4 linked regions of the Lonchura striata genome follow. The protein of the gene in region 1 purifies or fractionates together with the protein of each later gene. This does not show direct contact. Links are inferred from orthologs where the notes say so. Each region holds a gene or a part of one and is shown on either strand. Other genes may lie near its edges.

Evidence for each region.
Region 2: the proteins of TMEM43 (region 1) and SAAL1 purify together in Homo sapiens (affinity purification with mass spectrometry; 3 studies listed by BioGRID and IntAct, with this or other methods). This does not show direct contact. The link is inferred for Lonchura striata from reciprocal best matches to the Homo sapiens genes TMEM43 and SAAL1.
Region 3: the proteins of TMEM43 (region 1) and ENDOD1 purify together in Homo sapiens (affinity purification with mass spectrometry; 3 studies listed by BioGRID and IntAct, with this or other methods). This does not show direct contact. The link is inferred for Lonchura striata from reciprocal best matches to the Homo sapiens genes TMEM43 and ENDOD1.
Region 4: the proteins of TMEM43 (region 1) and BZW2 purify together in Homo sapiens (affinity purification with mass spectrometry; 3 studies listed by BioGRID and IntAct, counting the BioPlex papers as one, with this or other methods). This does not show direct contact. The link is inferred for Lonchura striata from reciprocal best matches to the Homo sapiens genes TMEM43 and BZW2.

What each region holds. Positions count from the first base shown.
Region 1 is NC_134614.1:14,600,647-14,607,724, reverse strand, and holds the start of TMEM43 (transmembrane protein 43), read right to left. Parts: upstream 3,002-7,078; 5' UTR 2,874-3,001; coding exon 2,862-2,873; intron 1,692-2,861; coding exon 1,539-1,691; intron 573-1,538; coding exon 438-572; intron 1-437. Other genes in the region: CHCHD4 (mitochondrial intermembrane space import and assembly protein 40), read left to right, coding at 3,207-3,228, 4,958-5,056. UniProt on the Homo sapiens protein: May have an important role in maintaining nuclear envelope structure by organizing protein complexes at the inner nuclear membrane. Required for retaining emerin at the inner nuclear membrane.
Region 2 is NC_134608.1:48,284,763-48,292,191, reverse strand, and holds the start of SAAL1 (protein SAAL1), read right to left. Parts: upstream 3,011-7,429; 5' UTR 2,985-3,010; coding exon 2,868-2,984; intron 2,621-2,867; coding exon 2,507-2,620; intron 1,627-2,506; coding exon 1,543-1,626; intron 1-1,542. Other genes in the region: serum amyloid A protein-like, read right to left, coding at 3,357-3,498, 3,925-4,063, 4,393-4,510. UniProt on the Homo sapiens protein: Plays a role in promoting the proliferation of synovial fibroblasts in response to pro-inflammatory stimuli.
Region 3 is NC_134604.1:39,661,956-39,669,956, reverse strand, and holds the start of ENDOD1 (endonuclease domain-containing 1 protein), read right to left. Parts: upstream 3,001-8,001; 5' UTR 2,752-3,000; coding exon 2,458-2,751; intron 1-2,457. UniProt on the Homo sapiens protein: May act as a DNase and a RNase. Plays a role in the modulation of innate immune signaling through the cGAS-STING pathway by interacting with RNF26.
Region 4 is NC_134603.1:127,663,450-127,670,749, reverse strand, and holds the start of BZW2 (eIF5-mimic protein 1), read left to right. Parts: upstream 1-4,285; 5' UTR 4,286-4,309; coding exon of another isoform or gene 4,310-4,376; 5' UTR 4,377-4,393; exon of another isoform or gene 4,394-4,416; intron 4,417-4,711; exon of another isoform or gene 4,712-4,847; intron 4,848-7,300. Other genes in the region: ANKMY2 (ankyrin repeat and MYND domain-containing protein 2), read right to left, coding at 720-784, 4,310-4,376. UniProt on the Homo sapiens protein: Translation initiation regulator which represses non-AUG initiated translation and repeat-associated non-AUG (RAN) initiated translation by acting as a competitive inhibitor of eukaryotic translation initiation factor 5 (EIF5) function.

The sequences.
Region 1 (7,078 bases):
TTTAAACCAGGAGATTCTGTTTTGCTGGAAGGTGCTGTGTTACCTTCTGCAATGTGAGTGGACCATGGAAAATGTCACCATTACTGAAAAGTAAAAAATTGCAGAGCTCCTGTGCTGCAAGACCCTGAACACTTAACAATATCATGAACACACAACAGGTTCCCTACAAAAATGGCAATTGAAATTATCCATAAAAGGCAGCTTGAGGGTAAACACAGCTAGAGCTGGCATTGGCTTGAAGAAGGGAGTGCAAGGCCATTCAGCATCTCCCTGGTTCCAGCCCAAGAACCAGAGCTTGAGTGGTAGCTACCAATGCATAGAGGAGGAGAAAAGCCATGTGTCTTTTCCTGGATATCAAACAAAACTTTGAATGGCAAAGACTTTTCCTTCCCTCCAAGCTTGAAATACTCATATCTTCAAGATACTATTTTATTTACCTTAGATGTACTCAGAGCTCCAGCCAAGTGCACCAGTCTCCCCTCATTCTGCTGAGAGATACTGAGGATGCTGTCAAGAGGGACCACAAGAGAAAGCCCCTCATCGAGAGACTTGGCTGTCCTTAAAGCTCGTCCCTGCAATGAAGAAAAGAGAAATCAAGTTGTGGAGAATCAATGTCACAGCAGCATTTTGTGAACAAGATTAGCAGCATCACAAGAACTGATGACCACAAGGAATCCTTGTATATTCAGCCCAAGGCATATTTTTCAAACACACTTGTACTTCTCTATTCTCTGTCTGAGCCAGTTTGGGGCAGTACTTCTCACTCAGGCAGTGGGACCATTAACATTGACTAAGCTTCTCAAACAGACTCAAATTCTTCCTACACAGGTCTAAACTTACTGCTCTGCACTTCTTACCTTGTTCATCATTCCTCAGTAACTGCAAAAATGATATAAATTATAGTTCATTTTCTACACACCTATATTGACTCCTTGGCAGAAGTTTTCCCTGCTTATCATCATATCCTGATGGGCTTTTTTTCTGCAAAGTCATCAAAATTTGAAGCAGTTATTATTCCTCTTGTAGAGGTATGAAAAGAAGTCTCTACATGAAAACCCACAGAATTCTGATCTCCACTCCAAAATTGCCAAAACAAGTATGTTTTCAATGGTAGGGTGTTAAGATTCCTGGATGACTTTTTTTTTTTTAAAACCTCAAACCAAGAAATAATACTGAGAAACTCTGTATTATTTCTGAGAACTCCTCTAATTTTGCAACATGGGGTATGAATTTCTTTAAAGTAATTATAACACCACTAGAAATTAGGACCTTTTGTTATCTCAAGAAAAAAGAGGGCGGGCTCACACAACCCTCTTACCACAGGCTGTTTCATCACCAGTTTACAAGCTTTGGATGTTATTTCTCATCACACACTGCTACTGTCTCTACCATACCTATTTTCAGAGAAATACTACCTGTGGCCTGTGATTTCACTTTTCTGTTACATCCCAAGCATATACACAAGGTCCCCAGACAAAATCTCCTCTTCTCAAAGATCAATTAATGCTGTGTACAAACACTGACAGTATTGCACTTACTTCATTGGTAAAAAGAAGGTAGAAAGCCAGAAGAAATGTCACAAGTCCAATCAACATGCCTCCAGAAGTCTCACTGAGTCGCTCCAGGAACCCTGGTTTGCGCTCACTTGTGATTTTAACATGCTCTTTTCTGCTGCCTGTGTCAGAGAACTGCTGAAAATAAACAAAAGTGCCATATTGGTGTGAAAGGGGAAAGCATTCCGTTTCAAAACAAGTCTGCTAGCTTTGTTAGCACTGCTGCACTACAGAGAACCTCTTGCCTTGGACCAAAACTTGCCGACACTTATAAAATGCCTTAGCACGCTTTTAATACCAGAAACACATTCGATAAATAAGACTCCATCCTGGTAGAAAAAAACCGCAATTTCTATTATAGTGGTTCTACATGTTCAAGCTGTCTTCGGTCTGCCTCCAGGTTCTGTATTTGGAGTCCACGCCCTACATTCATGCCATGACAAATTGAGTAATAGCCCTAAATTCCTGACCAGCTAAAACACTGCTATAAATAACAAATTATGATTCACCTCACCAGTAAAAAGTGTGCCTGCACACTCTAAAATAATTATATCCAGGTTAACAATAACTCAAAACAAGGCACAGGACTAACATGAGAGCCCAGGGGTTTTTCTGTGCACACGCAGCTTGTGAGGAGCTACCAAATCCCACTGCAGCACACTCACACAGCCAAAGCAGGGCACGGAACTTCTCTGTATGGAAAAACACACTACGAAAAGCCAGTGGCCATAAAGGAGAAAGAGAACTCCTGTAACTTTATTCGAATAAAGGCAGTCCAATAGAGTCCAATGGGGCACACAGCCGCGGAGTTTTCTCGAGGTTTCGGGGGGTGCAGCCTCCTTTCATCCTAAACTCCTGGCTGCTCGCTGCCTCTTCCTTTCCCCATCGGCTCCTCGGAAGGTGGACAGAACCTTCCCGAACCGGCTTCCACATATCCCCCTCCTTGAACCCACTGTTTTACCTCAAGGTTCAGAAGTTCAGGTCTGTGGAGACCCACTTTCTGTTCCACGAGTTAGGCTGTGTGGGCTCTGTAACAAACCTGCTGCCCAAAGTTCACAAACTCAGGCTTGTGCAGATCCCCTTCCTGTGTCAGGAGCCAAGCCGCCTCAGCTCGGCAACCAGCCTGCTGCCCAAAGTCAGTAGCGACGCGAAGACCCATTTCAAAGGCATTAACACCCATACTTTCAGCCATGGAATTATTTGCAAAGACATTAGCACACATCTTCCCTCTCATCTAAAGACGGCACCGGGCCGTGGCCGCAGCCCTGGCACACCGGGGGCGAACGGGCCGGAGCGAGCAGCACTTACGTTCCTCGACATCCTGAGCCTCTCACGCCCCCCGGGAACCACAGCTCAGGGGCCGCCGGAGCCGCGCACCGCCAGCCGCGCCCTCAGCCGCTCCCGCCCCTCCTTCCTCCTTCCCTTCCCGCCTCCCTCTCTCTCCGCCCTGCGGCCGCGGGGCAGGCGGAGCCCCGCGGCCGCAGGAGGTGCGTCACGGCCGCCGCGGGGCCGGGAAGGCGCTTCCGGAGGCGGGAGGTCGCGGCGTGGAGCGGCGGCGCGGCGCTGCCCGAGCGGTGCCGGCGGGACGGCAGGAGCGGAGCGGCGGGGCCCGCGTGCGGCGCGCTGCGGAGGAAGGCACCGGCCGGCTCCGCCATGTCCTACTGCAGGCAGGAAGGTGCGCCCGAGCGTCCTCCCAATGTCACCCCGCCGGGGGTGGGTGCGCCGCGGGGGGACCGTCCGCTGCCCGCAGCCCGCCAGGGGAAGGCGCAGCCGGAGGGGAGAGGAGGCGCGGCGGCCGCCCGCGGTCCGCGTGTAGCGGCGGCAGCGCCTCGCCTCCCGCCGCCGACCTTTCTCCTCACGGAGGGCGGCGGGGCCGTGGGGCGGCAGCGCGGTCCCGGCCGTGTGGGCGCGGTGAGGGCACGGTGAGGGCACGGTGGGGGTACGGTGAGGGCACGGTGAGGCCCCGCAGCGGCCGGAGGTGCCCGCCGAGACCGCGTGTGGCCTCAGGGCGGCTCCCGGCCGCGGGGCGCCTGCTGCCCGCCGGGGTTACATTTATCCCAGCCTGGCTGAGCGGCCAGAGCTGTGGGGTTTTGCCTTTTTAAGGTCGATGGGCAGGGTGGGTGTAGTGCGAGCGATTCTGTATCGTGTTGTACAGGTGGTGGTGTTTAACCACTTCTTAAAGTGGGAGATGCGTAGATAAGTATCTATATCTACTTATATATAAATAAAAATCCTTGCTCTCCTAAGTAATGCCAAGTGGCTGAATGTAAAGTTTCAGGATGAGGAAAAAAGCACCAATAGTTCTAAATGCCATTCGTAAGTTACAAACTTGGCCACAGACTATAAACTGTATCGAGGTGGTCATAACTTATGGACCTCTTTTATGCTTTATGCTGTGCTTTGTTTAGTTTTGCAATATCTGTAAGTTGCTTTATGCAACCCTACAAAATTGCAGTGACAGGGTTAGAGTTCATGTGTTTTCTCTCTCCTTTTATATAAGAAATGACCAAACGTTCCACATTGTACTCCAGCAAACTTTACCATGCAGATTTGTAAGAAAATTGTTACCATTTTTTTAAAAGGTCTTAGATTTTTCTGTTTTTCAGATATGTTTAAATGCATGGTTACTCAGCAAGGTTAAGTTACTGAACATCTGCTGGCTGAGGTCACACTGAGGGGCCAGAAGATTCTAATTTCTCATATGTCAAGTTACTGTAGTGGCCTTTATGAATTTGGAGAATTCTTGGGGAGTTTACCATTTTTTCCACTCTCAGAGTGTGTGTTAGAGCTTTGCAAGGTTGTTAGAAAACTAAAACTACTGAAGTTTCCAGCCAAGCCTCCCCCGACCCCACTATGGAATGTTTTAGTTAAATCAAGAGCAGGAAATTTGCTCTGTTGCATTTCCATCCCTTGTAACGTTCACAACACTTTTCAATGTAGTTAGCTCTATATGGTGACGGCTGTCTTCTGTTTTTAATTCATATGATTAGTTTAAAATATTATACTGGTCTTTAGCAAAGAGTGCTGTTATTAATAAGTACCTATTGAATGCTTTACTGCTATTATAGGGTTTTTTTTTCCACTTCTAAACCTGTCATCTGTTTTAGTCCTTGTCTTGGAGCAATTTGAGTTTGTTTTGAAACAGCTTTTTAAATTTGCAGTTCAGTGGAGTCTACTGTTCATTACAGGACATTGCTATGAAAATTGGAGCTTTAGAATAACAGAATTTCAGTGTGTATGTGTTCCTCTGGACTAGCAACTGTTGTCATTGAAGGTAATTGTTAAATACAACAGTTCATTCTCAATATTGGTGAGTCACATTGTGGTGTTCAGCAGTTTTGTAAATAAATCTTTTTCCATCTCAGATTTCTCTGAACTGTTGTTTCTTGTCTCCTCCATGGCAGGAAAAGACAGAATAATATTTGCAACCAAGGAGGACCATGAGACACCGAGCAGTGCTGAGCTGGTTGCAGATGACCCAGATGACCCTTACGAAGAGCAAGGTCAGTAGTGAGCTGAAGAACAGAAGTAAGGGGTGTTACATCATATATAAATCCAACAGAAAACAATCCCTGCACGAATTAGGAAAACTTAAGCATATTTAAAGCCTGAGGGCAGCTGGTTATGCAGAAAATACCCAAACTCTTAGCAGTTTTAACTGCGAGGTTAGGACATCACTAATGATACGCTTTATTCCAGTATTTTGTCTTCTACACTTGTGATTTTTCTTAGTACCTGTTCAAATAAGTTGATGGCTTTTAGTTTTGGTTAGTGGCCAGGGATATGCAGGGATACCTTTTCCTTTTATTAATAATGTTAGAGCCTAATCAAGTGAAAATTATGATTGTTTTTCCTGTTTTAAGTAACAGTGTGCAATTTTTAGAGAAACTAGGGAAGTTTTATATCACTGTCATTGAAGTGAGTTGCTCACCTGCCTGTGAGCAGTTGGAATTGCCTACTATGGCAATGTCTGAATATCTGATTTAATATAAATTAATATCTGGCTAATCTATACTATACTGGTAGCAATATAATCAATATCTTTCAGTGCCACATGACGGGTAAGTTAAAATTACTGAGTTTTCAGCTGCTATCATTGTGCCTTGAAAATGCAAAAGTTTTAATGAAGATTACAGTTCTTGTCTGAAGCATATCTAACCTGAAAATAGAGATTTAAGAGAGCAGAATAGTTCTGAGACCAAGATTTACAATATTCTGGTTGTGTATTTTAAATAATGGGTACATGAAATATATTTCCTGTAATGATTATTTAATAACTTTTGCCCTGGGTTAATGATTATCATGGAAATGTGAGTTTAGGTTAATTTTTTCTAATTGCCTGTATGTTTACAGACCTTTTGGTCTCTTCACTTTGTGGGAAGGGATTTCATTGGTTTCAGCTGAACTGAAGCTGAAGTAAATTCTTCAGACTCTTTGAACCTTAGTTAGAAAGTGAAAGTTATGCTTTCTAAAGTGTCTCAGAGACCTTTAGAGGGCAGCATTTAAGCAGTTTAGCAGCTGGAGCTCACAGGGTTTCTGTTAGCTGATATGGTGTGTAGTGTAATTTGAACCATACCTTCCTCTGTCATTTAGATTAACTTTTTTCGTACTTAGACTTGTGTTGAAATGTTACTGCATTATCTGCCTATTTTGGTTTCATTTGAGCTGTATGTAGTCAGTTATATATCCAAGTGTTTTTCTCACCTGCACTGATAAGTCTGTTGATGTCCTGGTGTGACATACTTTTGGGTAATAAACTAGTCAAAATTAAAAAAAAAACCACTTTATTTTTGTTTAAATGCCATATAATTCATTGCTCTTACGTGTATTCTGGTGGACATGGAAAGGCTGTGGTGAGGAGGAGAGGTGATGGGCTTTGTTTCCTGCAGTCCTGCATTTACAGAATGTTAGGTCACTTTCTTCCTCAACAATAGATAAAGAAGAAAGGGGAAAAGCCAGGAGGTTTTTATGTCACCTTACAGTGACAGTATGTGTCTGGGGTTTCAAAATGAGAAATATGTTTAAGTACTGTCAAAAAGTTTGGGTGGGAATTTCTTATTGTGTGATTTTCTTAGTTTGTTGAGTTTTATTCTTAGTATGTGGTACATTACTGCCGTGTTTTTAAGTCTGAAAAACCTCTTGAATGATGCAGGGCTACAGTGCATTAGATCAGAAGAGAGAAAATGGACCAATCCCAGAATGTAGCAGTAGGGAGTGAAGCTTATGGGCAGGAAAGACATGGGTAAAATGGTTTGAAATATGTTGAAATGCTGAAGCTCTGGCATGCATTGCTTTTATTTAAAAGAAAATTGGGAAGGGTTTTGCTGTACCTAGTGTAACATGTAGGCTTTTCTAATTTAGCTTCTACATGGAATAGAAGACTTGGTTTCCAGTGTTGTATAATTAACTGTAAGGACTCTTTTCATCTTTTCTGCTGTGCCAAAGATACCAGTCATATCTGGGAAAGAATAGATGCATTATAAAGACCTGCCATAATCTGCATTGTTTTCTAATACACCTGAAAC
Region 2 (7,429 bases), on another chromosome or scaffold:
ATGACTTACTGATTTCATTACAAAAATACAAATTTTTGCACAGATTCCATGCAATTTTTTTCTGTTCTATCAGACTAGCTTAAAATACACTCAGGTACTATGCAGATATTTAGGTGTTCCATAAAAACAAATCTTGAAATCAGCTCTGCTTGCATACTCTTTGTATATTGTTTTGAAGCTAATTTGACAGCCCTGTTATTAAAGCAAAAAAGGAGTCCTAAAACAAAAATACCACTACATAAATGTGACCCTCACTGATATTCTTGTGCCCACAAAAGAAAGGGATCTTAATACAAGTTTCCAGCAAAGTCCATTTTCTGATTAAAGAGATTAAAATAAAATAAAATAAAATAAAATAAAATAAAATAAAATAAAATAAAACCCCCAAAGCAGTTCATCCCATTAGAATATTCGTGCCAAGGTAATCATTAAGAGGATGCCCACTTGTGTAAAGAGGACCATGAGAGCACTGAAACACCTGCAGGTAACTGAGGCTAAAACAAAGCGAGTCATTAGTTTGCAGAAATTGAAAGTCAGAAATCAACTCTCTCCACTAAGATTGTCTTCTTAATTATGAACATGCTATAACATCTGCTATATTACATCAGGCACTCCAGCAAACACTGTTTCATTATAGTAGCTGTGACAGCTAATTTGCACTCACTTGCAAATTTGGGTTGTATTTTCCAAAGTACTAAACTTTCAAAGCTCTATTTGTCTCTACTGATCTCCTGGAGTAAAGCATCTGCTAACTTCTGAGAAAGAGGATTTACATCAACACTGAATACCTTTGAAAATCCTATTTTGAGACTTGCAGTGCACTGTGTAGCACAAGCTGGAAATCAGTAACATCAAAACAAATAGAATTTTTTTTTTTTAATTAAAGTATTGGTGCCTTAACAATTCCAAATATTACTTTTTGTAATCTTTTTGTGTTAATTTCTCATTATCTTCTTCTGATTTTATTGGTAATAAATTAATTTCCCCAAGTGGAATCTGTTTTGCCAAAGTCCATGACAAATCCCAGCAACTGGTGAGTGACCTCTCCCTGCCCTCATCTTGACCCATGTGCCTTTTGTTGTATTTTCTCTCCCCTGTCTAGCTGAGGAGGGGAGTGACAGAGCAGCTTTGGTGGGCACCTGGCCTCCAGCCAGGGTCAAACTTCTGCAGGTCTGCCTAAACAAATTCATGACCATTTCTGTTCAGTAATCATGAAACAAGTCAAAAGGAAAAAGCAGGGCAGACTGCTGGGTTTTATAACAGGTCTTATAACTGTTCAATAAACTCAGTCCTTCATCAGTATATCTAGATGAGGATGTGTGAGCAGAGATGGACCAGCTTCAGCATTACCAAAATTCTTACTGATTAGACCATGTTAAAAACAGAGTGAAAAAGCATTTAAAAATTTGATTTTGTGTTTTCTCCTGGTTCCCCTTATAAATTACACATGCAGTGGGAGAAGGGAGATAAATGTAAATGCATGTACAGAGCTGTCTACTGTTGCTGTTAACACAGAAGAGCTTTTTGACAGCCCATACTTACAGTCAGGCGAGGGCATTTGGACTTGGCAAAAACTCCCATGAATATATCAGGGGCGTTGAATTCCTGAAGAAATAAAGCAACATCCTGCAGAGAAAGTGAATGGAGAAGTAAATGGACCTTTGCAATTTCCAAATGCAAAATCAAACATGTTCCCACAGCACAAGGACTGGATCAAAGAGATGACAAATTCACTACAAGGAATTTGTTATTTGCCAGCAGTTAATACCAATAATCCTTGTTTTCCAATGAGAGAAGGTCAGCAAGCCCCTCTGGCGATTCAGTATGCTGGTGATTTGCTGTAGAATGAGCCAAAAAGTCACATTCACAAGAAAATGCAAATTGCTCCCTATCTCAACAGAAACAGACTCTCAACCAGAATTCAGTAAATATCGTGTTTTAAGGCATGACATCACCATGACATATAAAAAAGAAGCAAGTGAAGTGAACACTTGATCAGAAGAAATCTCTTCCTCATTTTACCACATTAAAACACAAGATTAGTTGTCTGTTTGGGAGTAAAAGATCCATGTTCGATGTTTACTTAAAAAATCTGAGAAACAAGGTAGGGAATAAAATAATACTTAAACTAATATATATATATCTCGATAATTTGTTCCAGCATTTGAGAGTGCTGAGAAATATACATTGACACTGCAAGTCTGCAGCTAAACTTTGAAAGACTGTTTATCTATCAGAGAAAGCTATGTTACCATCAGGATATATGACAATTGCTAGAGGAAAATACGCCTGCTTAGAGATGGCATCAATACTATTGATAATGCAAGTGCTGAAAGCACAGGCTGTGCACCGAGTTAATTCCAGCTGCTGCCCTGCTCCGCCCCAGCGCAGCAGTCCTGCCTCACCCTGCCCGCCACAGCCGGGCGTGAGCAGCAGCGCCAGAACGGGCTGGTTCCCTGCCTTCTCCCGCGGCCAGCGCCGTTCTGACGGGACACAGGGCTCCTACCTCGTCCATCGACATGTCCCACACCTTGCAGATGTCATTCTCCATCTCCTCGTCCAGCTCCGTGCGGGCTCCCTGGGGGCTGGCGGCGGGCTCCGGCTCGGCGGGGGCGATCACCTGCGACACGGCGGGGCGGGGGAGAACCACCCGGCTGAGCCCCGCACACCCGGCAGCCCCCCAGGCGTTTCCCCGCTGTGTCCCCGCCCGACCCCCGGCTCTGTGCCCTGTGAATCCCAGCTGTGTCCCCGGGCTTGTCCCCGCTGCTGCCCGGCTGTCCCCCCGGCCCTGGCAGCGATCGCGTCGCACCCACCCGGCGCTGATCCACGCCGGGCCCGCCGCCCGCTCCCTCCCGGCGGCCGCGCACCTCGATGAGGCGGGTGAGGACGCTGAAGAGCCAGTGCTTGCTGTACACCGTGTTCCCCACCGCGTCCCCCTCCTCCTCCTCCGCATCACTGCACGGCGGCGACGGGTTGCGGTCCATGGTGGCCCCACAGCCGTGAGGGGGCAGCGAGGCGGCGGCGCGGCCGGAGCGGCGCCCGCGGCCCCACAGCGCCCCCTGCCCCCCGGCGGCCGCGGCCGCCTGCCGCGCCCGGGACCGCGCCGGGACCGCGCCGGGATCGCACCGGGACCGTGACAGGATAGTGCCGGGACCCGCCCGCCCAGGGCCGCCCCTCGGCAGGGAGCGGCGCCCGCGCTCCCGGAGCACCCGAGCAGCCCCCGTGATGCGCCGACACCGCCGCCCCGCAGTCCCGCGCCCCGGCAGGACGGATGCTCGCAGCGAAGGGAACGGTTCTCAGGAGGATTCCTTTATTGGGTTGTACACAGGGAGGTGTGACAGGAGCGGAGTACAGCGCTAGTATTTGCTGGGCAGCCCCTTGGGCCGGTAGCGGTTCGGGTCCCCGCCGCTCCGGCCCCACGCGTTCGCCTCCTGGTCCAGCCGGGTGTCCTCGGCGCCTCTGCCGCTCACGCCGCTCTGCCAGTTCTCCCGGGCGTCGCTGTGCGGAAGGAGAAAATGTCACCTGAACGGACTGCATCTAACTCAGCCTTGTGCTGGGGCCCTCACTCATGTGAAACTGCTTTTTAAGGCTTCTCAAGGTGAGATGCAAGCACAAGCCCGGCCTTTGTCTGAAAGCCCGCGGTGGAACCCGTATCTGTTATGCTGGGAAATGAACCAGCAATGAAGGAGAGTTCTTTATCAGAAATGCAGAGAGAGAAATCTGCCTTCTTGGGAGGACAAGGAGAAAGGCTCACATTCATGTGGCACCATTCCTATAGAGATCGGCTGTCCAGATGGGAACTCTTTCCCCTCCCCTCTGCTGTCCTAGGTGCAAAGCTGATTACGAGTCAAAAAGGACCTCACTCCAGCTGGAATGCCTGAATCGCTAATAACTCACTTTAACAAGCCAAACACACTCCATTACCTGATCACTCTCGCTGCCCAAGCACCACCAGGTCCTCTCCGGGCAGCATCATAATTCCCACGGGCATGGAAATACTTGTCGGCACCTTTGTAATTTGCCTCACGCATGTCCTTGTATGCTCTGAACATATCATACGCTCCTGAAGAAGGCAGAGAAATGGAGATAAGGGTGACTTGAAAGAATTGCACCAGAAATAGTTCAGTACCATCTCAGTCAGGAGCTGAAAGGCCCAAGGAGCAGAAACAGAGTGAGGCATTGCTCTGCATCAGCCTTTGCACAGGGCTGTGCTCACAGAAAGCACCTGTGGGGGCTGGTCAAGGCCCTCGAGGTCCTGCAGCAGAAACCAGGGGCTTTCTAACGTGGTGGAGCTGCAGATTTCCCTGCTCTGAGGGCTGCAGCACTGACTGCTGGTAAGCAGTGCTTGGGGAGGGGGCTCCTAAGGGAAGGGCCCCTGGTAACAGAGCTTACCTCCCGCTGCATCCCGGACAAATTGTCCACCTCGGACTATTCCATCGAACATCCTTGGTCTGTCAGCACTTGCACACAGAACAGTGGAGAGCAACGCGATGCAGACCCAGAGCCTCATGGTTCCTGGCCAGGGGAGCTGGGAAACAGTGAGAGAGATGAGCAGTCCTGGAGCACCACTGAGAACCCACCACACCCCCAGATGTGCCCAGGCTGCTGCCCCAGCGCTGGGGGCTCACCCAGGACCCCCTTCTCCCCCTGCAAGGAGTTGTGACCTCTGTGCAACCACAAACTCAGCAACTAAAGCAGATGCACATGAGAAACATGCATTTTAGCAATCCCTGCTGCTCCTGTCATGAGTACAAAGAAGCCCCACATGCTAAAGCATTGGTTCTGCTCCCAAGAATACCAGCTCAAAACACTGCACACAGCTCACTAATTCAGAATGCCACTCACCACTGCAGAACGGCAAAACCAAAGGAGCTGGAGATCGTCTTGTGTGCTCTCAGACTCAGAGAGGGTATTTATAAGCAATTCAAACCCCTCAAAAGAGGAAACTGGAAAGGATACCCATGGCTGGGAAATCCCCATCAGCACTCCCAACACAGAAATCATTACTGGAAACCTGTCCTTGTCCTTACTGAAAGTTCATAGCTCCTATTATGCAATCTTTTAGAGTACATGGCACTTCTTCTGCTGTCTTTGGGACTATTTGCTCCTCGTAACAACCAGATGGACAAACTGCCTTAAAGGCTGAAGAGTTCCACGTGCTTGAAGTGTTACTGCTGTCTTAAGGGTGATGCTTTTGTTTGGATCTTGGACTGAACAGAGCTCAGAGGGGAAGGTGCATGTCTGTCTTCACACGGAAACACAAGGTCAGGTCTGTGTTGTACACAAGGAACAGTGAGCTGCGTTAACAGAAGGGCTGCAGGAACTGCTAGGTGGAATTCCCATGTGTGCTGGTATTGCCAGATAAATCCCAGAGTTAATGAAATGGAAAATGTGAAGTGTTGCTCCATTGCAAAGCAAAGCACATACACCTACATCCCTGCTGATCATGCTCTAATGTAGCACAGACACGCAGACCATCAAGAGGCTCTGAATGGTTCATTTTGCCCTGGCTTGCTCTCAAAGGCCCCTCTCAAGGGTCTCCAGCCACCCTGCTGCAACAGCACCTTTGTGGGGCTCAGGTGGAAAGTTTTGGACACAGCAGTCCATTTTACATTTTACTTAAGGGGAGATTCAGATACAGACACAATTCTGCTAGATTTTAGATCAGCTGTATGGCCCTATTGGCATGGTTCACTGTTTAAATACCCACTGTGCTCTCCCTGCTTAAAGCATGCTCGCTTCCCTTGGTTAACAACTTGACACAAGCCTTTCCCCTGCAGAAAACTCCTGGGTTGAGTGCAGTTGCACTGGAGAGTGAGTGTGCAAGAAGTGTCCCCATTGTGTGGCCTTGTAGATGATTTGGCAAGTAGGAGAGCACTTCAGGTTCCCCGCAGAAGAGTTAAGGGTAGCTGCTCCAGTCACAATTCTGCTACTGTAAACAATTCACTCCTGGAGCTGCAGGGCAGAGCATGAGTTGAAAGAGGTGCAGCAAAGCTAATAAAGTGGTGACAATGCCTTCCTTGGGCATCACCGGACTTAAAAAAAATTAGCTTTAGAGGAGAGGAGACATTTTCCATAACCTGCAGCAGCAGGACAGACACTCTGTAGTGTGATGTATCTCATAATGGAACAATTTGCAACAAGAATCTAAACCCTAAACCAATGGACAAAGCAAAAGCAGGGAGCAGACACAGATTTTTGTCCCCTGGCACTCCTGAACCCGATACTTCACAGTGTAAGAGCTCAGCTACTGCAGGGACTGGAGCGTTGTGTTCTGCTGCAACCCTGTTTCCATTCTGGTACCTACATCCTTGCAGAACATGGCAGTTCAAGTGCCTTCTCTGCTGGCTGCAAGCAGCCTTGTCTGTCACCTTTTTGGTTTTTGAAAAACAAGGCAAATGACTCGTGTAAGCTGGGGTACAAGCATCCACTTTGCCCAGGGACTTAGAACAAAGCATTGCCTTCAAAACTGACCTAAGGAATTTTTCCCTACAAGAGCTCACACACTGTGGACCATAGAAGATATTTTGAGTCTTACACTGTTTCACATTCTCTCCACACCAATATTTCTGCAAAACACAAGAATAATTGCAAGAAAGCAGGTGCTTTAGAACATATCTTTAGAGTTGTTCTCTTAGAACAATTCTTTAGAACATCTCAGAGTGCATCCCCTGGTGTCCAGCAAGGACGACAGCAGCAGTGACAATGCTGGAGCTGTGCCAAAGCTGCAGCTTGGGGCTCCAGCAGGGAACAGCCTGAGCCTGCTTTCCTGTCTCCTCCTGTCCTGAGCTCCAGGTCATGGCCCTTGGCTCACAGAAATGAACTGCAGCCAACACTGCCCTGCAACTGTAAATATCTATGAATGCAAACTGTGTCCAACAAACATTCCACAATTTTGCAATCTAAGAAAGTTAGACTGAGAAAGGGGATGAGGTGAATTCCCATCTTAGGCACAATAATATCAGCAGTTATTTCTTAATCTGGGAAAGAACAGTACCTTATTTATGTGTGCAATAACTCATTTCAGGAGTTTTGCCAAGTATTGAATATACACTACCAGTGACCTTGGGTTTATACACATAGAGAATGACTGGAAACTTGTCTCCTTTAAAGAAGCAGAATGAAAATGCAGGCATGTATCTGAAGTAAAAGTTATTTACCCATAGGTTTCTAATAGTGAAATAATGTATGATACTTTTATCTTTGATAAAATACCACCAACCAGTTTCTATTTAAAGTTGCTCCAGGCTAACCCCCCTTTATTCATCTCTGCTTCTCGAGGGTCTCTCCCACCACCAGTCACCCACAAAAACCAAAGCTGAGCTGCAGCTCATCTTCCCCATGAGGCTGGCTGAGCCAGCCTGATGTGTGCTCAGCTGGCTGACAGGAGCCTTGCTCTGTGCAACTGAGGCAGTTTCTGTTTCAGTAA
Region 3 (8,001 bases), on another chromosome or scaffold:
CCCATCAGTACCCTGCTCATCAGCCTACCCTTCCTGCTCTCTAATTTTTCACTAATTGCTGAATTAATTCATTGTTTCCAGCTGCCAATCTGCAGTGGGTGGCACTGACATTCCTCACACTCCTCACCCAATTACTGCCTCTGTGCTACATTTGGCATTTGTTTCTCAGGCAGACATTCCTGAGGAGGGAGTGAGATGGTGCCCTCACCACTTACATCATTATAACAAAAAAAAAAGCATATGACAACCTTGAGGCCCTCACTGGAGTGCTGAGAGTGTTTCTATAATGATTTCTTTCCCTTTGCTGTGTGTCTGCATCTCCATGTGCAAGTACATGCCACTGTGCAGCTGAGCCAGCTCATACCTAGCTATCCCTATCTTGGCAAGCAAATTACCCAGAAAATTGGTGATATGAGCTCACTGGGCTATGCTGCAGAGCAGGTGTTGCTAAGGGTTCCCTTCAGCAGCCATCTGAAGAGCCTTGGTAGAACACACATAGAGGGTGTGAAAGCTCTTCCCCACCACTCTCTCCTCCAAGTGGCAGTATCTGAGAGGGCTGTATGCACTCATTTCTTGAGTTATAGGAATTTTTCATATTCTTGATTTCTTCCCCTTACATATTCTTCTGCAGATTTTTTTTTTTTTTTTTTTTTTTTTTTTTTTTTTTTTTTTTTTTTTTTTTTTGTCCTAGTACTTTTCTGTCTCAGTCAGAGGTTCCTCCAGGGAGCTGCAGAGTTGCTGACTCCTGCCTCTAAGACATCTGCATTTCACTAGTGGATGAAGAAGACCCATTAGTGGGGGTCTCATTATTATTATAGTGGGGTCTCAGTAGACCCATTATTGTCAACCTGTGAGGCTGCTCTGGAGAAGCCAGATCAAATAAAGGTAGCACCTGCCCTACTATTTCTGAGGCTGCAGAAGGTCTTGGTGGCAGGACACACAAGGTTTGGGACTCTGGAGTGCTGGCAGGAACTAAGACGAGTGTCAAAAGGGATGGGGCAGGAAGGGCAGAGACACCAGCTCAAGGGAGGTCCAGGGGAACCAAAGTTACTGGGCAGGGGAGTGGGGGGGCTGCCCACTGCTCCATGGCAGGAACAGCTCCCGAGCCTACCTAGATAGGGTGGGAGAGCTGGACCGCAAGAAGCAGGAAAAGATATGGGAGCTAAAGGTGATGGGTGTCACTAGCCAAGGCAAATGGGAAAGGATTTCATCTCTGCTGCTTTACCTTGCTGCCTCCATGGCACTGACCAAAGATTCTTGCCAGACAGTCCCCTTTGCTCTTTAAAAATTTGCCACCCTGCCACAACTCAGTAACGACAGAGTCTGCAAAAAGTTTCCTCTGTTTTAACAAAGGGCAAGATCCCACAGCTTGCCTGCGAATTGGAAGGAGCTCAGATAAAAAGGCTCTTAGAAACTCCTGCAACTCAAGACCCAGCCCAGACAGCCAGAAGACAGTCCAGGCTAAGATAACCATTTAATATCTCCTGTCTTCAATGCCTGTGGCCTTAGTGTCTCATCACTACACATGAGAAAAATAAGCACAGCATTCTCCTGGCAGAGGAATGAGCCACCGCAGGATTGTGGCAACATCCAGTAGCTGAGGGCCACACTTCTAACACACTGCTCTGACACTGCAGCCATTCCTGCCCTAATAAAGTACCTGTACACACTCATAATCTCTCCTGAGCTCAACAGATGGGGTAGCCTGATGTTTGCTACAATATTTGTCATTATCACTGCTGAAAAATCTAAGAAATGGGAGGGGAAATAGGAGAGCTAAAGTTCTCTTAGGGCACCATCAGTTTTTAAAGGATTTCCTTTAAATTGAACAGCCTGAAGGCCTTGGTTAAACACGCCAAGTGGCAGGAGAAACAAAAACCACTGAGGCTCTGGCAAGATTCATTTTATACTGTATACTTCTGACCTGACTGAAACCTGCATGCCCCACAACACAGCAACTGATTTTCCTACCTCAGTCTGCAACACTGGGACTCACTGAAAAGCTGCAGCATCAACTTGGTGAACCACAAATGGATGCTTTATCTCTGCTCAGTGAAGCTAAAGAACCCCTATCAACACTGTGAGCATACTGGCAACAGAACAAACCTGAACTTGACACTGCGATGTTTAACCCACCAGCAGCGCTCCCTGCCCACGAAAGCTGGCTGGGCAGGACAAACACATCACTGGTGTCAGAGAGGGCTTTCCTCTCCCTTGGCACTGCACTTTCATGCAGCAGCCTCTCAGTTTTCATTATAAGCTCCCTGGGACAAGAAAGTATTTGTTTGCCCGTTTCCAAGCACAAAAATAAGTTTTGCTCATGCTATATTCATACCAACAGAAGTTCAACAAGAAGAGTTCCTGCCTCCTCTGCAAAATTCTAGCCCCAGCTTTCATTTCCCAGAGGAAATGTTCTCCAGGAAGAGTTGCTATTCAGCAAAGGAAAAGCTGCCTTACCTGCGGTTCAACCAGCCAGTTCTCCTCCTCACTTTGAGCTGGCTTTGTAAACTTAAAAGCTGAATAAAGAGGGATTTTGTCCTTAGTGCTGTAGAGGGTTGCAAAGCGTGGCTCTTTGTTGTACTGCTGACAGATTTTCGCATGGAACGGCTCCGTAAATCCTTCGGGTGGGACTTGTCCAGAGAAGAACACGTTACACTCGGCAAAACCAGTTTCATCCTCTCTAACAACTCTGCCCTGGGAAAAGCCTGGGAAAACGGAGATGCAAAGCAAGAATACAATTGACGTCTTCATGGTCCACTCCCTGGAGCCGAGGGAAGCCCCGTCTGCCTCCGCTGGGTACGGCAAAGGACCTGCGCTCAGAGTCCATGCAGCAGCGAAGCCGGAGAGCGTCTGGAGCTCGGGTGCAGCGTGCGAGGGATGAAATCCGAAACCGGAGGCCGGGAGCGGCGCGCTCCGCGGGCAGCGCGCCGGGAGCCGAACGCGAGCGAGCGGGGCCGCTGTGACACACGGCGCGGGCACGGCCGCCCGCAGGAGGGGATGCCAGGCAACCTGGAATCATCGGCCAACAGGAGGAGGGGCGCCCGTGGCAGCCGCAGCGCTGGAGATGAGCAGCACCGACCGTCCAGGCTGGGGCTCAGCGCCGGCGGGGGTGTGGTGTGCTGCATTGCAGCAGTCCCCGGCAGGAATTTTGGCTGACACAGCCAGAAATGCTCCTAAGGCTGTCAGAGGGGATGCTGCAAAGTCAGATTCCACCACCCCAAAGAAGGTATTAGCTGTCCTCTCCAGCTGTGAGCCTGGCCAAAGGAGAGGGAGAGAAAGAAGAGAGGTGGCAATATTGGAGCTTCTGGGAGTCCTTTTTGTCCCCTTTTGGGGTGTCTGTCATCACTATTGCTGCCAGCCACATGCTGCTTAGATGCTTGGGAAAGGCATTCACCTGCCGTATCTCCTGGTGCGGTATTGGGAACTCAAAACCCTCCAGCATCACCTCATCTCGGGAGACCCTCTCTCAGAAGAGATTAACAACACACAGAAGGATGAAGACCCTCAGACCACATATCCCTAATCAGCATCCACCACAGAACATTTTGACCAAACCTATGGAACTGGCAAAAAAAGGAAATTAAGCTGCTCCTCCAAGTTTATGTTCAGCAGAGTAACCATCCACCCAAGAAACAGCTGCCTATGGTACCTTGGCTACTGCTGGGTAAAAGCAGTATTCCTTCAGTGACTGGGAAAAATTAATGTTTTCTAAACAGTGGAGATGGAAAGGAGATCACAGAGCAGGACCTTGGAGTCAAGAAAAGGTAGCATTTTCCCACCCAAGAAGTGAGATGTGATCAGCTGTGTTGCCAACAATTTAAAAAAATCCTAGATGTCAATAAGGCACAAATCCCTTTTATAATACAATTTCCAAGCAAAAAACCTCCCACGTGCTACCATTCCACATGTACTTTGCAGACAAGGTAGGATTATGTCCACACTGAAAATTATGAAGTGGAATGGTGAGTGGTTAATGGTGGTGAGCCTGCTGAATGTCAGAGAAGGAGTCCGTGAAAGGCTAAAAATAGACTTCACTGTATGACTATCATTCCTCTACTCAGGGATGACTTCTGGAAGTATCAAGACAAGGAAATACGTCGACACCTTTTGGTGTGGTGATATCAGCTAGGGGAGACAGAGGCAGGCTGGACAGGCTGGGGAACAACAGGAAATGTAGTAAGTGGGCCTGGGTTTGGTCCAGGCAGATGACTGGTCACCCAGCCCTGCCAGAAAGAGTTAGTCATGTTCAGGAAAGGTGTTGGAAAGGAAAGCACAGAAATAAAATTTCATTTTCCTGAATGTATAAAGGCTCCTGGAAAATCAAGAACTGAAGCTGAACCTTTGCTGTTAGATGCTTTTCTGATTCCAGACTTGCAATTACCTGGACAGCAGAAAAAATATTTTCATAAGGATGGTAAGCCCTACTAGCAGGCAAAGCTAGGTCAGACAATAAATTTAAACACCCCACTTCAAGGCTGACATGCATTACCTCAGGATGGGCATGGTCCCAATCCAATGAAAATCCAGCATGAGGTGTCTCAAGATGTGCATGACAGCAGGCACAGCACACTGAACAGATCAGTGATTTCTGCCAGGAAACCGGTGGAAATCCTGCCTCTGTCCTAGACCTGTGAATCAACCTCCTGCCTCAAAACGGCAACTCTGTCTCATCAGATGTACAAACCCAAGCTCTCTTCTGACCCTCAAGAGCTTTTATGGGCTTTTGGGAAACTCTGAGGAGTTCTTTCCTTTCAAGGTATGAGGCTGGGGTCTGTCTACCAATTCAGCTGTTCATTTACCAGCAAACAGATAAACATGACTTATCCTGAAGAGCAGGACCTTCAGGTTCTCACCTCCCATGAGGAGCATCTGCTGGAAGCCAGCATGGAGTTCCACTCCTCCACTCCCCGTTCAATTTTCTGTCCAAACGAGGCGCCTGTCCAGTTTCTATCTAATTTAAGATAGCTGTTGTGATCCTTGAACACAGAGCTGTGTATTTTTTTCTCTTGCTAACATCACTACTACTAAAGGGACTTGTGCCATCATGCTGTGGCACTCACCATGCTGAAAAGATAAAGATTGCCCTGCCCTAGGAAGGTTACAGTCTCAGCCAAGGAACCACAGACAGAGGACTCAAACACAGTGAGATGGAGTTGGCCAGAGGTTTTGATGACCCAGTGCTGCAGTAGCTTATCTGCTATCAGATGCTTTTATAGGCATCACAGGGAGTCATCCCTATAGGCTGTGAGCGAGCAATGCCTGCAGGAGCTGATGCCAAAAGGAGTATTAAGGTCAGATTCAAAAAGCCCTAAGGCTGTTGATGTGAGCAGAAGAGCTTTGGCAAAATACACATTGGGTTGGCAATGGGCAGAGGGAGCTGGTGGTGTCAGCATGAACTGTGGCAGCAGTGTGGCCCTGGCACCCAGGGCTGCCTTCTCCAAACCCACCAAGGAGTGACAGTGCAATAAGCTGAGCAGTGTCAGCAGTGTGGGTGAGAGCCTGATGTTTCATGTGGTGGAGCAGAGGGAAGCCAGGGACAATGCAGAGTGATGTGGCCAAAGGGACACATAAGAAATGTGATCATAGAATCGCAGAATATCCCAATTTGGAGGGTACACACAGGATCATCAAGTCCAACTCCTGGCCCTGCACAGGACACCCCAAGAGTCACACTATGTGCCCAAATTGTCCAAATGCTTCTTGATCTCAGACAGGCTGGTGCTGTGACCACTGCCCTGGGGAGCCTGTTCAGTGCCCAGCCACCCTCTGGGTGAAGAACCTTTTCCTGATATCCAACCTAAACCTCCCCTGACACTTCAGGCCATTCCTGTCACTGGTCACCACAGAGAAGAGATCAGTGCCTGCCCCTCCTCTTCCTCTCATGAGGAAGCTGATCACTCAGTGGCAGGCAGAGGTTGTGAGACACAAGAGAGGCTGTAGACAACAAACTGTATAGACACAGAGATTGCAAGGCATGACAGAGATAAAGTGTGTTGGGGAAAATTAAGAGAGGCTGGAGAGAAGGAAGGGAAGAAAAGAGGTAAGGATCCAGAAAATGGTATTAACCATCAGGAAAAGGAAGATATTGGGTAAAAATTAGAGTTGAGGAGGATCTGCATTCCTGAAAATCTAGGGTGCTAAGAAAAGGTGAAGAAGGAAAACAAATGGAAATAGGCGTGAGGAAGCCCAGAGCCAGGTTGTGACAGGTCAAGTGAGATGATGAGAGAAATCTGAGGAAAGTCTCTTGTGATAAGAAAATGAGAAGAAAATATGAGGAGGAATAGGGAGAAAGGAAAAGGAAAGGTTCACATCCATCTTCATTGACCTGACATAGATGTGCAGTCTTCCTGTTCCCCAAGGGTCAAGAGGAGGACCAAGAACAAGCATCAAGAACAATGTCTGAAAAGGAAGAATACTTCCCTTCACAACAAATCTGAAAAGCATGTCAGCATCCACACTCTCTAGCCATTAGAAGCTGCCAGGCTTGTCTGTCTGCTTTCCCACACTGCTTCTCCAGTCCTGTCTCTGTTCACACGACTGACACTGGATTTGCTACAAATAGAAAATTTATCCCCTCACATGCTTGACCCCTCTACTCTAGCCTTTCAAAACATTCTTGACTTCAAATATTTTTCCAGGCTGGATCTCCAGTCTCCTATCACGGCCTCTGTGAGACTCAAGTGTTGTATGTGACTGTCTCTTCCTCCTGAGAAGAAAAGGAAGACAGTGTCTCCAAGGGCAAGCAGTCTCATGAGAGAGGCACCATTTGTTTCAGGAGGCATACCAAGCTCAGACTGGGAGCACAAGAGTGCCAGCAGACATGCCATGGCATGTCAGACAGCACATCTGCCTCCTCACTGTCTCATGGGGAAACAGTCTCTTTTTAAAATTAGTTTAAAAACTTGCTCTGGGAAGGGAGCCCAGAGCTGAGCCACAGGGAAAAGCGAGAGTGAAACAATTTTCCAATTGTAACTAAAAGATTCAAGGGCAAGGGGAGAGGGTGGGCACAAGGACAACAAATTCTTTAGGGTAGAGCTTAAAAACACATTTTTGGGATTTTGATTCCCACCTAAAATGAGGTCTTAATACCAATCTCCACTGCCTTTTGTCTTCACACCTTCACCACAGTGCTCTGGTGAGGAATGGCCCCCCACCGGCAGTGCTGCTTTGTTGCTCAACTCTGCCATGATGCTCACTATCAAGGGTGGCCTGTGAGATTGCCAGGGATGCTATCTGGCTCCTCTGCTTCTTTACTTGCATTTTCTCCTGTCCAGACTCAGTGTCCACCCACAGCAGACAGGGGATGCCCTGGAGTGGTGTCGCAGCTGAATTCAGAAGAGAAAAAGAACATGGAGTTTTAAACAAAACATTATAGAGGAGGTTGTCCATGGTGTACAATCAGAGGAAAAGGGTGGCAACTGGGAAGAGTGAAGCACCCCCATTGCTCTGTGGATTGTAACACCATTAGGACAGAGACATGTTCTCATTTTGTACAAAAACTTGCACAGTGAAATTCAGACAGCCACCTTTTCAAGTATAAATGAACCATACACCATGAAGTATAAATGCATTGCATAAATACTGAATAAAATTAATAAAATCCAAAGGGTACTTCCTTTGGCATTTTATCATAGTCTTCACACTCAAAAAAAATCTCTGTTAATCTTCAAACTCTTTAAAAGAAGCACAATGACAATCCCATGCTAGACAGCAAAAGCAGAATGGATGTAGATTAGCAGTATAAGGCAATGTTTTTAATATTGCAAATGATTATCTGTCAAAATGAGCTATTTAGAGATGTGCTGAAAGCTCCAGTACCTCCATTCTTTAAATTAGAAGGTGCTTCTTAACATGATAACAACTAAAAAAAAAAGTTTATGTTTCAATTGTAATGGCCTTTGTTTTACAGATTGTCAGTTAATCAGATCCGCAACAGTTCTTCCACACTTTAAATCTATTTTGAACAGGGAAGTTATCCACTTACATGCTTTTATTCTAGGT
Region 4 (7,300 bases), on another chromosome or scaffold:
TGTGAAATTATAAAGCTGTGAAAATAACCACAGATTAACATTTAAATCGATAAATTACACATGAATTTATCATGCATGATGGGGAATTAAATTTGTTTGCATGTTATATTTCATATTAATGTTGCATGCTTTAGAAAAACATTGTAAAAAGAAAAAGAGGAGGAAATAAGAACATCATATAAGGTTCCTTTCTCCACAAACCTATTCCCACCTTCAGGTAGCACTTGAGGATTTATCTTCTACACGTTTACCACACCCACTTGTATGAAAGGCTGTGGTTCCATTTCTGATCGAGCTACTCACCCTCCAAGTATGTTTATGAGACCCAAGCATGGAATGGGGACAGGTGCCATGTCTGCCACAGAGGGACTAAGCAGAGGAATTACTGTTTGTGAAGGTGACAAGAAGTCAGGGAGCACCCCCACGTGTTTTGCTGCAGCATTTATCCCACCTTACAGACAAAGCTCAGGCTGGAACGTGAGACAAAATACAGTGTTGTACTTTAAATAACATTAATCTTTAAACTTGCTTTAAAAAACAGTAAGAACTCTTCAAATGTTCATTACTCAGCTGCAGGCTGGAAATATCTTGAGATTAACTCTGACTTTCAGGGCTACAGCAACTGCTGTTAGAGAAATGCTATTTAACATTATGAAGGCCTTCAGACCTAGCATTTTCCTTATTAAACTCAGCATAATGCTTGCACAGTTTTGCAGTACCTCATCCAAGCAATTGACACGGACATTCTTGCTCCCCAGCAGCCTTCCAGCCTCCTCGGTGTTTCCTTTAAATATAAGGACAAAGAGAGAAAAAGGGTTGAGAATCTAGAGGAAAATGGTCATTTCCATTTCTCATTAGAATCAAACTCTTTGCATGTAAACTGATTGGGATGTAGATTAACCACCACTAAAGTAGCACTTAGTTGACACTTGGTGAAGAAGCTTAGGAACGAGCAGTATTATGTTCTAGAAGCTAAAAGCTGAAAGAACTCACAACATCAAGGAGCAGTTGGAAAGCATGAACTATAAGTAAACATCAATTTTTTGTGAAGTAACTGACCTACACACACAAGAAAAGGAAACTAACATAAAGAGCACATGAACAGCTCCAAATGAGTGTCGTAATACTGAGCATTGTAATACATTTTGTACTTTCATCTCTTTTGGAGCATCTTTTGTCTAAAAGAGCTGTTTACATTCTCAAAAAAGGAAATTACCTCACTTCAAAGACTTTTTGGTTTGAATGAAACATGATTTATCATTTACTCACATAATTTTTCCTGTTTCAATTTGAAATTTGCAATGTTTCACATTTACAGGAGTGGAATGAATTTGCTCTTGGTAATAGAGAGCAGAGATAGAAAGGACAAGGACCCAGGTAGCTTGATCACTAACATCTGTAAAAATTGCCAAATGCATAAGTAGACTGAAGACTGAAAGAAAATGTGCCAGGAAAAACAGGTTACACCTGTTTTCCAATTCTACTGTCCTGGCATTTTTCAATTCCTTACCAAAATCCTTTTGGCTAAGCCACAGGTCTAAGAATCTGATTTAAAGCCCACTGGAGGACTATTCAGATATTGCCAATGCAGCTTCTACAGGCACAAAGAAATAAATGACATACCAAGAGTCTGAGTTTGGAGAATATTTATTGCAAATTAACAGAAACTTATAATTACTGATTCAATCATAAGCAAAACTCTTTCAGCAGTGATGTGCTTAATAAAAATAAGCACTGCATCACTTATTTTAATGATTTTCATGTTCATCTTCACTCTTTCAGAAGGTGGTGGTCATCTGTTGCCCTGATTTTTAAAAGTGTTTTCTTTTATAGTTCTTTTGAAAGTTTTAAAGTTCTTCTAAAAGTTTCCTATGCCTTCTGATATTTACATATTTCTACTGGCATTCTCATGCACTGTTCATATAAATAACGATTGTTTTACATTCTTCTTTGTGAGAGGAGAGAATTGATGGACTGTTGGTTTGACCAGCGTGGTTGGAGAGGTGGCAATTCCATCCTCCAATCCACTGTCACTTTTGGAATTCTATATATTGCAAGGTCAGAAATAAAATTTGCTCTTTTTCTCCTTTGAACTTACCAAGTCTCTGTGTACTCATTTTGTGTCCAATAGTGACAGTCATCCAGCAATTTTTCAGCAGAACAGCTCTTGCAACTTCAGTTTTGGCTAAAAATCCCATTGAAATACTAGAAATAATTTATTTTCACAAGGCTTTTTGGTGTGATTTAACTACACTACAGGGGCTTTTACCACTTTTCTTTTAATTCATTAATTTCATTAAAAAAAGACAATTGTCTGAGTCATTTTACACACTTAATAAAGACCCCTGACAGTCATGGAACCATCAACCAACTTATTCCCCCAGACATACCTATATTCTAAACACGTTAGAAACTTCTTAAGAACTAGATCAGTTTACAGAGGAATATCCCAGCTAAAGAACCAACATCAGTAAGAGAAAGTCTTCAAGGGGTGATCTTCAAGTAAATTTTAATACAACCTAAGCAAAGCAAAGTTGCATTTACAAATACAGAGTTCTATATGACAAAACGTTGAAAGATTTCCAACAAGGCACTAAACTGATGGAAGTCAGACTTCTAGAACTGGCCAGAGCTAAAAGTTGGAGCCAGGCCCCTCACAGTGGTGGCATGGTAGGAAGCCAAGAGGTTAACAGGCAGAAGCTGAAATAAAAGGAAGCTTCAGACTGGATACAAGGAAAACATTTTCACAATGAACCCAGTAAGGCAAGGAGATTGCCCAGAGACACTGTGCAGCCATCCTCCTTGGAAGTTATCAATACCTGATGGGATAAAGCCCTAAGTGATCACATTTGACCTCACAGCTGATGTGTTTTGAGCAGGAGGTTGGCCTAGAGACCTCTTGAGGCCTCTTCCAACCTGAATTATCCCATTACCCTAATCAGAAGCATCAAGTAAGTTAGACAGAGGTGTCTGCAAGATCAAGGTCTGAAACACTTATTAAAGTGAGTCAATCAAACTGGTTCTGGTCCACAACAAATTCACTGCTGACTGTCTTATGCTTGTGTCTCTGACATGGAGAAACAGTTAAATACAACTGAGAGTGAAGCATCAAAACTGTAGCAAAACTTTCATGCGTTCAAATTGCCTGGTAACTACATACAGAAATGCATAGAACACATGAATTTTTCGTTTGCTTCCAACTAATGAATGTTGTTCATGATTTTCAAAATACCAGCTGGAGGGGAACTATTTATTCAGAGTTATGAAATTCACATTGCTGGAACCCAAATGACAGAAAATTCCCCTGGCAACCAGTATGTGTGACAGACAGTGCAATGAAAGTGTGACACTCACATGAAATGCAAAACCACAGAAGGGGTCAGGTTAGAAGGGACCACAGCAGTCTGGTTATCTGGTCCAACCTCCCTGCTCAAGCAGGCCCATCCTAGAGCACATGGCACAGAATTGCATCCAGACAGTTCTTGAGTATCTCCAGTGAGGGAGACTCCACAACTTCTCTGGTTAATCAGTTCTAGTGCACGGTCAACTCCACTCTTACTCAAGAGGAATTTTCTGTGCATCTGTTTCTGCCCACTGCCTCACATCCTGTTGTTCGGCACCACCGGGAAGCACCTGGTTCTATCATCTTGATACCATTCCTTCATATAGACATTGATCCCCTTTCCTCTCTCTAACAGAGCAATATAAGATAGTATAAGGAGCAGTAAAATAGAACATTATAAGGGATAAGAGGTGCGCAACGCCCCAAACAAGCTCAAGTGCTGGCAATGTAAGAATAACGTGTCTGCAAAGACGCCCTGGTCTGACAACATGACACGGGAAAAACCTTACAGCACGCTGGAAAACTGGATTATCCCCAAGAAAACTTTTTTTTTTTTTTTTTTTTTTTTTTGGCAGCGGACATCATAATTCGGCAAACGTCAACAGACATTGCCAATAAGATGCAAGCAAGCTTTCCTCGGCAGCGCCAGACCGGCCCAGCTGAGCTTCCCCAGCCCCGCTGCAGCGCAGCGCGCCCCCCGCACTCCCCGGGTGCCGCCTGCCCGAGGGAGGTGAACCCGCGGCGGGGAGAAGGGTGGCGGCCGACGGCGGGGGGGAGGCAGGCGGCCCTCAGCGCCGTGACCCGAGGAGCGCGGCCGGGGCGAGGGGAGCCCGCGGCGAGCGGCCGTAACGGCGCCTCACCGGCCGCCCGCAGCGAGCGGGGCCACGCAATCCTCCGGGCACGGCCAGCGCGGCCCGTGGGAGCTGCGGCCCGCGGCCGCGAGCGGCGAGGGCCGGCAGGGCTCACCTGTGGAGATCACTGCCAGCAGCTCTTTCTCCTCCGCGCTCAGGTCGCCTTTCCTGGGGGGAGCCATCGCGGCCCCCGCGCACGGTAAGGCGGGATCGGCCCGGGACGGCTCCCGCAGCGCCCCCTCCCGCGGCACCGCCCCGCCCCGCTCCTCCGGAGCCTTCCGCCCGCAGCCCCGCCCTGCCGGGGCCGACGGCGGGGCGAACCATTCCTGCCCAGGGATGGGGGTCGCTGCGTGCCAGCCTCTCGCCCTCCGCCAGCTTCCCACCCGCTGTTGTCGGAGAGAAGGAGCCTGTCCCCTCTTGTTCCTTGTTTTCAAGTTGAGAAATGCGTTACGCTTTTCTTTTGTCTCCCCTTTTTGGCTTCTCCGGGGCTCCTCCGTTTCTCCCCCCCGGGGAGGTGCCGGAAGTGGTGCGGGCGGGCGGAGGCGCCGGTGTGTCAATGTGTCCGTCCTTCACTCCTCCATTGTCTCCCGCCGTCGCCGCTGCTGTCGCGCTCGCTCGCCCTCCCCGCCCCGGACCGCGCAACCACCCGACAGGTGCGGCCGGGATGGGGAGAGCGCCAGGCGGGAGCCGCGCCGGAGCCCCGCCGGAGCCCCGCGGCCGCGCTGCCCAGGCGACGGCGGCTGCTGTGGGGCAGCTCCGGGCGGGCGGGCGGGCGCGGCGGCCATGGCGGAGCAGGGCGGGCGGCGGCGTCACGGCCCGGTGCGGGTGCTGCAGCCCGGTTCGGAAGTGCCGCCGTTCGTGGGTTTTGTGGAGCGCCGGCGGCGCCGGGTCCGCTGCGGGAGGGCGGCGGTGCGGGCTCCTGGCACGCCGGCTCTTCCTTCCGTGCTCCCGCTTTCCTGCCTTTTTATGGCATCGGTTGGTTGGGTAGTTGGCTTTTTGTTGTTTTATTTTTTCCAGGCAGGAAGAGCGTTTTGTTCGGCTAAAGCGGCCGAATGGAGCCGTGGTCGCGCCGCGGCATCGTGTCTCCGGGAGGAAGCGGGCGCTGATGGATCGGGAGGGGAAGGAACGCGCTCAGGGTGTTCAGAGCGGTGCCTGTTGTTGGTGCCTTTCTAAAATTAAACTGTTGCTGGAAAAATAATCTTTGTTACAGATCCAACTTTCCACTATTCCAGCGGAAGCTCGGTAGGCACAGGGACGATCCTGTCGATTCCCTCCAAGGGACAGAGACTGAGGTTTAACATCTTTGATTTTTGCCTGTGTTTATACCAGAGAAAAGAGCAGGACCCTGGTACTTGATGCTGACTTTTACCCTCTTTTGCTCTACTCTTAAATGTATATTTTCTGTATTCTTCCTTTTAAGGAACTAATTTTTTTACCTGTAACGAAGTTTTGAAGGCATGGCTTTATCAGTAAGCCGAATTTTTCCATTTCTTATTACTTGCAGGTCACCTCATATTGAAATATTTCAATATATTTTGGAATTTCTTTTTCTAATACTAAGCTTGTTCTCTATTTTGATACCTGTTGATGACTTGTTGACTGACTTTCAGAAATAATGAAGTCTCTCATAGAAGAGCATGCTCGCTGAATATAGCCTATCTTCATAACTATTTGGGTAAAAAAACCAAAATGTGATACAATTTTGTTTTAACTAAATAGCCAATTTCTATATGTTTACATGATTTTAAAACTCATAGAAATAAAAGGGTGTACCACCTAGTTTTACTTGCGTCAACCAGTGTATATAAAAGAGATTGGTTTGGTCTTCAGATTATAAGAGATTCCCTTGACCTTTTTTTTGTGGGAAACCAAAAATGTTGTGAAGGAAATGCCATTGAATTACAAGTGCTTTTAATATTCTGATCCAGAAACGATCCCTATGTGGCACTAACAGAAGTATGTCACTGGCTCAATCATGAAGGCTGAAATTAGGATTTAAGTGGTCTTTTGTTGGTTCACTGCAGGGTGTGAATTTTACCTGCTGTGAACAAATCTTGTGATACTACAGTGCCCTGATAATCTCTGTGGCACTGTTAAATAATAGACTTCAAGCTTCCTTTTGCATTTTAAAAAAATCCCAAAAACTGTTGTGTTTTCTGCACAGAAAAATGTGCATATGACATTCCTTTTATTTAATATGAGAATGTCATTATTGCCATCCTGCCCTTGTTCACAGAGTGAACAGACAGTTTTTCCTTGGCAGCCTTAACTGGATCTCACTTGGTGACTAAGGCTACAGGAGTGTTCCATCTGCAAGGGTAATAAAATACTTTAAGTGCTAGTTAAAACATGTTTCTCACTCTTACCTGGCTTCTGTGTGACCTTCAATCCTGTAACATGCAGATATTTCACAATCTTAAGATCACCCTTGTGAGAGTGTGAGGAAGTGGCATTGCCTCCATTTTATGACCATAATTTGAAGTGTGGAGGCAACAAGTAATTTTTTTTCAAGGCAATGTAGAGAGTCAGTGTCTCGGCAGGGAACTGGAACATGCAAATGTAGGTTCTGTGCCTTTGTGTCTTTCCCTTTAATGCATTTTCTTTTATCTGTTTGTTTCACATATTTAAGACATGTGCATTACTGCTTGGTAATTAATAGTTTATATTTTGAGTATTACAGAGGGAGAAGGAAATGTTAACCTCACTGTGATTCAGAATATTTTCTAGATTTTAAATTGTATGTTTACATATTAAAAATTCCCTATTTCCTCATTAGGTGATGTGTCTGGTACTTGTGATTTGTGAAGCAGGAACTAGTGGTGAAATTTTTCCACAGTGGTTTGCTGGTTTTACTGCATGGAGGTGTGCTCATGGGGATTCGTGATAGCTATTGTTAACCAATGTGTAGGTGATCCTAAGTGCCTATGTGCAATTGTCAGGGATAAGAGGCATGCAAGAAGATAACAAGGATTTCTTTAATCAAGTAACATTCATTTTGGGAGAATGTACAGAATAATAACCTTTTTCTTGGGTTATCTTGGGGAGAAGAGACTGGCTGCCCTATGCCTTGGAGAGTGCACCATGAAACTCTCAGTCTTTGGACATG